3 linked regions of the Notamacropus eugenii genome follow. The protein of the gene in region 1 interacts with the protein of each later gene in a pairwise test. Links are inferred from orthologs where the notes say so. Each region holds a gene or a part of one and is shown in the gene's direction. Other genes may lie near its edges.

The links.
Region 2: the proteins of PCBD1 (region 1) and HNF1B interact in binary tests that used the Homo sapiens proteins (3 or more experiments, as listed by UniProt). The link is inferred for Notamacropus eugenii from reciprocal best matches to the Homo sapiens genes PCBD1 and HNF1B.
Region 3: the proteins of PCBD1 (region 1) and TFF3 interact in binary tests that used the Homo sapiens proteins (3 or more experiments, as listed by UniProt). The two-hybrid records come from large-scale screens. The link is inferred for Notamacropus eugenii from reciprocal best matches to the Homo sapiens genes PCBD1 and TFF3.

What each region holds. Positions count from the first base shown.
Region 1 is NC_092872.1:239,935,219-239,938,967, forward strand, and holds the start of PCBD1 (pterin-4-alpha-carbinolamine dehydratase), read left to right. Parts: upstream 1-1,260; 5' UTR 1,261-1,420; coding exon 1,421-1,423; intron 1,424-3,749. UniProt on the Homo sapiens protein: Involved in tetrahydrobiopterin biosynthesis. Seems to both prevent the formation of 7-pterins and accelerate the formation of quinonoid-BH2. Coactivator for HNF1A-dependent transcription.
Region 2 is NC_092873.1:307,004,717-307,008,465, reverse strand, and holds the start of HNF1B (hepatocyte nuclear factor 1-beta), read left to right. Parts: upstream 1-1,367; 5' UTR 1,368-1,939; intron 1,940-2,144; exon of another isoform or gene 2,145-2,417; intron 2,418-2,528; exon of another isoform or gene 2,529-2,695; 5' UTR 2,696-2,705; coding exon 2,706-3,049; intron 3,050-3,749. UniProt on the Homo sapiens protein: Transcription factor that binds to the inverted palindrome 5'-GTTAATNATTAAC-3'. Binds to the FPC element in the cAMP regulatory unit of the PLAU gene. Transcriptional activity is increased by coactivator PCBD1.
Region 3 is NC_092876.1:416,710,427-416,714,175, forward strand, and holds the start of TFF3 (trefoil factor 3), read left to right. Parts: upstream 1-1,458; 5' UTR 1,459-1,545; coding exon 1,546-1,627; intron 1,628-2,452; coding exon 2,453-2,599; intron 2,600-3,749. UniProt on the Homo sapiens protein: Involved in the maintenance and repair of the intestinal mucosa. Promotes the mobility of epithelial cells in healing processes (motogen).

The sequences.
Region 1 (3,749 bases):
GGAAGCAACAAGTGGAAAAAGAAAAGAAAGAGGCCAAGTAAGTGTTGACCAAGAAAAAAAATTGAGAGCTGTCCATGGTGGAGAGGCAGCTGTTGTTTTTCCTCTTTGAAGATTTTCAGCCAGAAGGCTGAAGGACCACCTGTTAGGTATGTTACAATAGAGGTTCCTTCAGGGTGTAGGTTATACAAGGTGACTCTGGGGACCCTCATGCCCCCAAGATTCTGTGGTTCAGAGTTCCAATTCCCATTCATTTGGGCCTGGGGAGTGTAATAGCACTATGCACCCCACCATACTCCCAACAGACTTAGCTCCAGTCATGGATCAATGGAAGAGAAATTTAAAATAGCTGATATCTGCAAAGCGTGTCACAGTTGATAGAACGTGTTCCAGCGTCCTGGCTCATTTGGTGCTCACAAGCCTACAAGGGTAAAAGGATGCAACACTCATGTTTCACATAGCTGGGGTACTTTCCTCACAACATCCCATGAGGAAGAGAGAGAAGTAGGATCATCCTGTTTTACAGATGAGAAAACTATAGTGCACAGGGGTTAAGTGACTTGTCCAGAGTCACACAGGTGTGAAGGATCTGGCTTGGAATTTAAATCCAAGGAGAAATGTAGTGTCCCTCACATGGTATCCTAGAAAGTACAATGAGCAGAATGTCAGAGGACCTGGGTTTTTAGTGGTAAAGAACCAAGCCGGTTTTCTGTGTGACTCTGGACATGCCCCCTTTCCTCTCTGGGACCCAGTTTTCTATTCTGTAAAAGAACAGAGTTGGTTGACATGATTTGAGGCCCCTCCTATCTTTAATGCTCTGGGATTCACTCTCTGAGAAAGAAAAGAGGCTGTAAATGCTGACTGAGCCTCCACTAGAAGAGAGCCCTCCTCTGTTAAACATTAACCCGAGAAAGGACAACAGGCCTGCTCTGATTTCCAGGCCTGGGCTCCCTTTTTCTTCCCTTTGACTTAGGGAGAGAAGGGGCTTTTCTGGAAGCTTTGATCAAGAAAGGAGGGGCTAAGGGGAGGGTCAGAGACAAGGAAACTCAGCGATCACTTTCCTGTTTAGAAACCAGGGCTGGTCCCTCAATGAGGGGTAGGAGAATGATAGACACTCAATTTTTTGATTGGAAAGAGTCTAGGTTTAAAACTAGAAACCCTGAAGAGCCTTGCCCCCTTCCCTGGCCAGGCCTTCTTCCCACCCCCAGTGTCCCTCCCCTCCCCTGAGAGCTGGCCCTGGCTGGCTAGAACAGGAGAGGAGCCAGACAGCTGCTGGCAGGGAGTGGATGTAAGCCCTTTGCCACACCCCCTGCTATCAGAGTGGTGAGGGAGCTTTGGCCTCGCTGGTTGAGACTACCTCTCTAACTCCCTCCTGTTTCAGCTGTGGTCCTCCGGGGGATTCTCTCCTGCACCCACTCCTGACATGGTAAGGACCCCATGCTGGGGAAGGGCAAGAGCATTGGGAAGCAGCTGTCCAAGATACCGGATTGACTGAGACAGGGCAGAGACATTGAGGGCTGCCTCCTCTAGGCAGCACAGTCCTGTCCCTCAGTTAATCAACAGCTTGCTTCCTTCCTGCAGGCAGCTCCAGGAATGGGAGGGGGAGGGGGAGAAGTTGGGCAAGCAGGGTTCCTGAAAGGAAAGTCTCTCCACCTGGTGCCAGGCAGGAACCACGGTGTGTCCAGAGGTGACAGAGACCCTCCATAGGCCAGCTGGGAAGTGGAGAAAGCTGAGGTCCAAGGGGAATGAGAGCAAAGCATTCCACCAAGATGACCTCCGAGACTTTCCCGCCCTGAATCCATGTTCCCTCGATCACACTGAATTGCCCTTTGACAGGCAGGTGAATGGGGATTTGTTAAATGACCAAAAGATACAGAGTGGTGCGGACAACCCAGAATAAGGAAGACAAAGTGTTCAAATTTGAGTTCTCCTACTTAATATTTGTATGACCTTAAATATCTCAACTTGTGTCTGGGTCTGTTTCCTCATCTGTAAAATGAGATCCCTTTAACCTCCCAATCTTCCATCCCAAAGAATATATTTGAGGAGGTGGAGGAAAGCAGTAGACATTGACCTCCCAAAGGCAGGGGTTTCTAAGGGAGGATCAGTACCTCTGTAAACCTGGGGGAAATGTGCAGCCATTGGTGCAGGAAAAGGCATCTGTGAGATGTTTGCCTGAATGGCTTTTCGATGAACTAGCCTCACTGGTGTGGGATGGTGTTTCCATACTGGGGGTGGTCTCACCCTCACCCATACCAAGTTCTAGTTCAAAATGGGTGGGGGAGGAGGAGAGGCAGGAATGGATCTAAGAAGCCAGAGAGAGGTCCATACCTGCAGAAGGGGCTAGCCTGGCAAATAGGCATTTGCTTGCTCAGTCTGAGCCAAAAAGTCGAATCAGAACTTTAGAGCTGAAATGAACCTTAGACATAATTTAGCAAAGCCTTAAAATGGGGGAAGGGATGGGGATAGATGGAGAGAGTATAGTCCATACTGAGTAAGAGTCTGTGTCTAATTGGGAGATCTGGGGGAGGGGAAGAAGGATCTGACAGAGTGGGCGGGTGGGGGGTGGGGAGGGTGGTTATTTTTCCTCCAGCCTTTCACAGGCCAGGATACTGGACTAGGTTAATCTCCCTCTGAATCTCTACAAATGTCATCACTTCTCAACCCTTGGACCTGAAGGTCAGAAAGGTATTCATGTTGGGTGGGCATCTGGTGGGAGAGAGACAGAAGAGGAGGAGAGACATTTCAGAATTTCTGAAGAGATCACACCCCTTCCAGGGCCATCCCTGAGCCCTGTTTCCCCAGCCCCCACACCCTCCCTCAACACACCAGACAGCAGATATTAAGGCTCAGTCTGAAGTCTGGTTGCCAAGATACTTGGATGGAGCTTATCAGCCAGTCTGAAAGGGCAGGGGTGATGGTTTCTAGACCTGTGTTTACTCTGAATGTTTCCTCCCACCATGGTGTTCCACCATCTCAGCAGCTATCCAATAGGAAAAAGAGGAGAGGAGGGGAGAGAAGGATAATTCAATTCAACAAACATTTACTGATCACCAGCTATGTGCAAGGCACTGTGGGGGATACAGAGAATGACAAGGCATAAGCCCTGTTGTGATGTTTACAGTCTAGTGGAGATGGTATGACTTGTGTCTATTCAAATCCTACAAGGTTCATCTCAAGCCTTGTCTCCCTGAGGAAGTCTTCCTTGATAACTCCAGTCATCACTGATCACTCCTCTCCCTAAAGAATCTCCCTCTCCCCTCTCCCCACTGTCTATAGGATACATCTAGATATTTTACCCCATTTAACACTATTCTTCAGTGTATTCATTGATCTTCTGTTTCCTGTGTCCAATTACATTATAAGCTACTTGAGGACTGGGACGGTTTCTTTTATTCTTTCTTTGTCTCCCACATGGTAACAGTAACTGGGAATCCACAAGGTGCCTGAAAAGAATGCCAGACTTGGAGTCAGAGTACCTGGCTCTGATACTCATTTTGTCACTCAGTTGTTTCAGTCATGTCCAACTCATCGTGACCTCATTTTGGGGTTTTCTTGGCAGAGATACCACAATAATTTGCCATTTCCTTCTCCAGCTAATTTTACAGATGAGGAACCTAAGGCAAACAGGGTTAAGTGACTTGCCCAGGGTAGGTGTTATTATAATCCCCATTTTATAGTTGAACAAAACTGAGGCAGAGATGAAGTGACTTACCCAGGGTCACACAACCTAAGGTTGGATTTGAATTCAA
Region 2 (3,749 bases), on another chromosome or scaffold:
TTCTCTGCAGGATTTCTCTTCAACCATTTCCCTGCCTCACTGGTGGCAAGGACAGTGGGAGTGGCCTGGAGAACGAGGTTTGGCCAGTGGAAACTCAAGGACAGCTTTTGAAAATTTCCTTTTTTTCTCCTTTCAATGTCACCCATCTCTAGTCCCTCCTGCTGCCTATCATCAGATCCCTAGGAATCTCCCAGAATTCCACCCTGAAGGGCCAACTACCCATCATCCACATGTGTGTGCCTATGGATGCCTAGGTAATGTAACTCAGCATGATACAATCTTCTAGGCACCTGTATTTACCTCATGAACTGGGTTCCCTGGATACCCTAATGAGAATTCAACACTAATGTTAACAGAAGGATATTTGGCCATTCTTCTTGCCAAAAGTCTGAGTAGGAATTTGGCATCAATAAAGCTCCAGAAGTAGTGATGGGGCAAATATTAACATAATAATAAGAGTAGGAAGGGGATACTTCCAACCAGGGTACCCTGTCATTCATTCTTTAATTTAAATACCAATTATGTGCAAGGTACCAGACTTATTACAGGGTTAGAAATTCAAAGACAAAAATGCAAACCAGTCCCCTGCCCTCAAGGAGCATGTTAGGGCATGAATATGATGACAATGAATGTTGCAGAATGATAAAGAACAATCTTGATCCCAAAGATGGGTTATGAGAAGATATCTCCCCTTCAACTCCTTTGCAGAGATGGGCTGTCTCCGGTTATGGAGAATTGTGTATGTCATATTTGTTCCATGTACTGATTAACTGATTTTCCCTCTTCTTTTTCCTTTTTCCTTATTCTTTTAAAAAAAGTCATTTGTTCTAAGGCATGGCTCCTTGGGACAGAATAGGGGAGGGATATAGGGAGAAATCTAGGGGCTGCAAAAGTTATCAATAAAGTCTGCTAAAACATAAATACGGTGTGATTTAAGGACAGAGATAAAGTACAGATAGGGTAGTGTCCCCAAATTCCCCCCATTGGTCAAGGCCAAGGCAGAAAGGTCCCTGAAACGGGAGGAGTTTCCTGTCTCCTGGCTACTGGGGATCTGGCTCCTGTGAACCTTTATTTAGGCCCAGGTAACTCCTTGATTCAGACTAAGTAATGACTTTGTGTCCTCCAGAGACCAAGTCCAGGATGACAAGTCCTTGTTGCTTCTGTCTTTCCTTTTGCTCTAAAGTCTTTGCATTCTTCCTCCTCTTCCTCACCTGAGGGTAGTTGAGACTGGAAATCTTGTGGGGATGAATCAAGTCACCTACTTTTCTTTTTGAGCTGTTTCAAAGGGAAAGTTTCTCCATCCTGGATCTTTCATCCATATGGGTCCTTACAAGATTGTTTGACCCAAGGCCTTGTGGAGTGTAGTTCTCCTGGGGGAGTGGACAAAATACATCTCTTGGGAGTTAGGAATGAGATAAGAGGTCAACAGAAACTGAAGGGAAATTTTAACTCTGCTCCAGAGAGCTATGGGAAAATGGCCTGGAAAATAGGGATCCCAGGGAACCAAATGCAGAGAGGCATAAGAGAGAAAGCAATTTGGATCTGATGGGCTTCGGCTGCCTTATCCTAGTTTGTTAGGGGGCACTTGGCCAGAGATCTGTTGGTATTGTCTGAACCTTACTCCCCAGCTCTGGCCTCTGTCCATCCATCCATTCCTTCATTTATTTGTTGTTTATTATTGTTGCTATTATTTAGAAACTAGACACTATTACCTCCCTTTGCTCCCTCCATTTAGTGTCCCCGGGGCTCTAAGCTCAGTCTAAATTTGGGCAGTCTGTTGTGGTCTCCGTCTCAGTGTCCTGGGAGCATTCCCTCCAACCCTCAGCTATACACACCCTTTGCTCGATCCTAGGAGTTCTAGAAATTCGAGTCGGCCCTCATTTACAGTGTCGGGGAGAAAGGACTCTAAGCCCTGACATGGGATCTGAATTAGTAGCAGGTAAGTTCCCCACCCCCACCCCAAAGCCCTATCCCCACAAGGAAGGAGTCCTCCCACCTCCAATCCCCACTCATCAGCGCCCAAGGTTTGACTTCTTTTAGGCCACGTGTTGGGTTGGTAAGTTGAGTTGGCTCTTGTTCATCACTTCTCTCTGCAAAGGACGCCCCCTTTCCCTACCACCGTCCCCCCAGCATCCTTCTCTCACCTTCCCCCCGAAGAGATGTCAGTTTCTCCCTTCCTCCCGGTAGGGCCCTGGGCTGGGGCCCGGTGAACCGCTGGGTGGAAGGGTTCTCCCAGCAGGCGCACTTGGCTGCGGACGTCTTGCTTAACAAGTCCAAAGTTCAGCTAAAGTTTGGCTGATAAACAGAACCAATAAAGAAGGTCCCCGGCCCTCAGTGTAAACACCATGGGCTTGAGCAGACCCAGCTCTCCAGCCGGGAGCTCTGTCTTTTTCCATGAGCCTCTCTCGCTCTCTCCCTCTCCCCGACTTTCCCCCTCCCCAACTCCATTTGCATCTGGCCGAAATGCCCGTCCCTTCCCACTGATTTGCATATCTTATATTGGCTAATGGAGGCGATCATGGAAAGTTAGAAGTTTGCTGACTCCTCTCGGAGGAGACTCCGGGACCGGGGAGTAACAGGTGTGCGGAGGCTTCGGGGGGGCTCCCAGACTTGGGGTTTGCTCGTGAAGCTCCCCTCCGCCCTCCTCTCTCACACCACCCCCTCCCCACCCACCCCGAACCCCCCTCTTCTCCAGTCGGTGGAAAATGGTGTCCAAGCTCACGTCTCTCCAGCAAGAACTCCTGAGCGCTCTGCTGAGCTCCGGGGTCACCAAGGAAGTGCTGGCCCAGGCTCTAGAGGAACTGCTGCCAGCCCCGACTTTCGGGGTGAAGCTGGAGACTTTGCCGCTGTCCCCAGGGAGCGGGGCTGAGTCTGACACCAAGCCGGTCTTTCACACCCTTACAAATGGACATGCCAAGGGTCGCCTGTCAGGGGACGAGGGGTCGGAGGACGGAGACGACTATGACACCCCTCCCATCCTTAAGGAGTTACAGGCCCTCAACACCGAAGAGGCTGTGGAGCAGAGGGCCGAAGTGGACCGCATGCTCAGGTACGGGGAGCGCCCAGTGGGCACTCTGGGTGAGTCCTGGACCTAGCTCTTGTCCCCTGCTCTGTGCAGCTCTGTTCAGCCTGGCCCTCCAAAATTGGTTCTCCCTTCCCTCCTGCTCTTGGGGTGCCTGGGTCCCAGACAGAGATGCCTCTGCTGGGCCACCATCAGACTCACCTAAACCTCTCTCCCTTCAGCCCAGACTGGGGCCTGACTAGTCCACTTTTCCCTGTAGCTCACCCTGTAACACCTTGATTCCAGGTATAGTTCTCTAGGTAGGAAAGACAGATACTTGCTTTTAGCTTTTACCCAGGGACGTGGGAAGATGAGAAGCAGCAACCCCTAAGTGGTTGAGCTGGGAGTGGAGGCCTGACTCCAGCTCAGGGTCCCAAACCCAAGAACCTAACCCGGAGCTCGCCGCGGGTATGCACTCTCCGAACTGGAAAAGTTCACCCACCTTGGGCTTTGCTCTTGCTAGGATCCTAGGGAAGACCCACCCCGACCCTGAGCCAAAAACTTTCGGGGGGGCGGGGGCGGGGAAGGGAACAGACTTTGAGCTTCCCCAGCCGCTTGGTTCTGTTTATAGCAGCGCGTTTGAACCCTCCAGAACTCACTGAGGGATCTGGGATTCCCAGAGGGAATTATTAGTGCCACTGTCAGACAGAATACACAGCTTGAAAGGCCTTGCATCCATTCCAACCTT
Region 3 (3,749 bases), on another chromosome or scaffold:
AGAGGGCTGAGCAAGGTCACCAGCCTCTCTTTCTCCTCCAGAGCCATCTGGGACCAGTGGTCGGATATTCATCAGGATGACTAGAGAAGGTCCAGGATACAATGGGAGACCCTGGCCCTTTCAGGTTAAGTCCTTTTCAGGTACTTACTTAGAGTGAGGTAACACCCATTAGTGAATAGGCTTCTTTAAGAAGTGAGTCAAGGGATGGCTCCTTTAATTAGAAAAAAGGGAAAAAAAATCAAAGTTGGAGGGGAAGACCCTCAGGGTTGCTGTTCCAAAGAGAAACAGTTACCATTGACATTCTCTCTAAGCCAAGAGATCCCCAAAATGAGTGGAGCTTGGGCAGGGACCTATAGTGGTCCAATCTGTGGCTTCAGAGTGAACTGGGTTTAAGGTTTTGTGAAAGAAGAAAGAAAGAAAAAAAGAAAAAAAGAAAAAAAGGAAGGGAGGAAGGAAAGAAGAAAAGAAAACTAGCCAGTAAACCCCAAGTTAACTGGGCAGCTTCTGACCATCAAAATTTACCTTCCTTTGGAGAAGAGAAGGAGAGGGAGAGAATGAGCTGAGTTACCCAGCTAGCCACTACTCTGCTCTACAACACTGTCTCAAACAAAGTAATTTTTATTGTCATTCAGAGAATACTCTACCCAGTTCAGAAGTCATAGAAATAATGGGTACTGTATTTGATACTTGTACTAGACAGAATATTTGACAGGAAATATAAGGGGAAGGTATACTGAGTATTACAAATTAAAAATTTTCCAATCAGAGCAGAAATGTGAAAGAAATTCCAACTAACTAGCATTCCACATTTATTAGGAAAAAAATTCACCTGCTCCCTATTGATGCAAACCCTTATCCTGTCTTCCCAGTTATCACATACTCACTCAATATCAAATAACAGCAGGAGGTACCAGTTACTCAGTATTGTATCCTCCACTCGATCACCTTAATGGAATTTTGGATCCAGAAGACTATTAAAATCAACGTACAAATAATGATCCAATATCTAATAAAATACTTCTAGGATCACAATTTTGACTCATAAAAAGCATCTCTAAAATTATTGTGACTTAATACCATGAGTCATTTTCTCCTTTCTACTTGATACTGTAAATGACCTAAATGGATTTCCTCAAGGTAATAATTAACTTACTGAACAATTCATCAAATAGTAGCCTCTTTCAACATTACAGAATATTCACCAAAACTTTATTTTTACTACTTGTTCTTTTCTTTTTTTGCTCTTCTGTCATTTTTCAGTTGTGTCCAACTCTTTATGACCCCATTTGGGGTCTCTTGGCAAAGATACTGGAATGGTTTGCCATTTCCTTCTTCAGCTCATTTAGTACAATGTATTCTTACTGAAAATAATAGCTTTGGATGTCTTTTCAGATTCACAGAGGTGGAGCTAGAACACACAGAAGAAAACCCCACCAAGATAAACATCCTGATATATTGTGTAAATCCAAGAGTATAAATGAGGCTCTTATGTGATTTTTATTCATATTTCTGAAGATTTCAGGCTTTAGAAATCTGCAGATTGCAATGGATCTCAAAGGTCTCTACTTCGTGGCATTTATCCTGATGTTAGGGTTCTCCAGTACACTTGGTGGATTTGTTGGCTTATGTGAGTATATTCTCTCATTTTCTTGCAGTACACTGAGGACAGGAATAGAATTGGGAGGAATTACAAGGAACAAAGCAGCTAGGAAACCAAAACAGGGAAGTTAATCAGGAAGGTGCCATGCTATTTTTTTTAAGTACAACAAGAAAATTAAGGTGGTTCTTAATTTCAAAAGTTGGCTAGGAAAAAGAGGATCTAAAAGACAATCATTTTTAAATGACAAACTTTTCTTCTGAAAAAACTTTCCATCAGTGAAATCAGGGAAAATGATATTAACAAATAATGTATCAATCATTTTAGCATATTATTAGTGAAAGAAGCTTGGAGACTGAATATTTAGATGATGAGAAGATGTGCATAGTCAAAAAATGTGAAATAATAAAGGAATGACTAAAAATGTCTCAGCAAAACACATCAGTGTAAAGTTTCATTTGTTAAGCCTGTGAAAAAGCAACTCAGATTGTTATAGGTTGCTGGGCAGATTAATATCCAAAACAGCATTTTAATATTCTTTAATGCATTGTATGAGAAAAACAAGAGGATAAATAACAGCTCTGTCTAAAAACTTTTAAGATTATTCTATGGCACACTTTTGATACTTGACTTATAAACACTCATTATCGTTAAGGATTTATTTTGTTTCTCTTTAGCCATTTACATTGAAAGAAGATAGTTAAAACAAGCTAGTCTTCTTTTTTAAAGTCTGTTTGATGAAAGAAATGTGTCATCATAATTTGAAGTTAGAATGGTGTTGGATACAAATTTCCCAAAGAAAAAGAAAATACTTTCCAAGAAATTTAACTTAATTTTTTTTTTTGTTTGAATCAGCTCCTGATCAATGTGCTGTCCCAGCCAAAGAAAGAGTAGACTGTGGCTACCCTGAAGTCACTGCAGAACAATGCATTAACAGAGGGTGTTGCTTTGATTCCAGCATCCCTCAAGTACCCTGGTGCTTCAAACCTCTCCAAACAGAAGGTAACTGTTAATGGGAAAATCATTTCTTAAACATTTATCAGATTGGAACCATTATGTTAAGTGCTGAGAATACAAATTTAAAAATCTAGAGAGACCTTGACTTGAAGAAACTCACACTTCAATTAGCAGAGAAAAGCACACAAGGAAGTTTAGCTTCATGGGAGATGATAAGGCCAGGAAGTGCTTAGGACTCAGTAAGCAAAGTGGCAGGGCAGATAATAAAGCGTCATAGACCATGGAGGATAAAAAGAGGCCAAACATTCCCTGACCAATGACTATTGGGACTGTGGTAGTTTATGGATTGAAGTGGACTGGGGATGGGAAGTAGGGCCATCATCAACTTGGTCTAGTGTCCTAAGGATAGGAGAGGGGGCATTATCTATTTAAGTCCCAGTGTGAAAGTATGGATTCTTGGATTTGGAAGGGAAATCAGAGGACTCATTCCTGAGCAAGAATCTATCCTACAGTATTCTTAACAAGTAGTCTTCAAGCCTTCATTTGAAAACCTCCATAAATTGAGGATACACTATAACCTGAGGCATCCCATTTCAATTTTGGGGCCCTCTAATTGGAACATCCTCCTAACTGAGACCCAGACATCAGGGCACTTGAGATGAAGTGTCATACTCTTTCATTAGCTTGATTATATCCCTTATGTTTCATCCTAGGAAGTTTTAGATTAAGCAATGATCTTCCTTTCCTTTTGATAAGTACTTTGTGCTTTAAAAAAAACCTAAGTGACAGGTAGATAGAATATTGCCTTCTTGGATGCTCTGAATTAAAAACAAAAGATTCAGAGATTTCTAAACATGAGCAATACCTTTGTGATCATGTAGACCAATGTTCCCATTTTACAGATATGACAAACTAAAGTTTAAAAAAGTTAAATGACTCATCCAAGGTCAGTCAACCACAGGTAGTGACAAAGTCAGGAATTTATATTTAGATTCTATTTGTACAGTGCTCGTTTCACTGGTAAGTTTTGGAATATCTCACCTCTATTAATCAGATCCCTACTTAATTTCCCTATTATAAAATTGATCTTGAGAAGGGCTTTGATATATATTTAAATGAATACTACAGTTCAACATTTCTTTCTGTAAAAATAAAAATAGCATACATTAACATACTACTTTGTACTTGGGGCAGC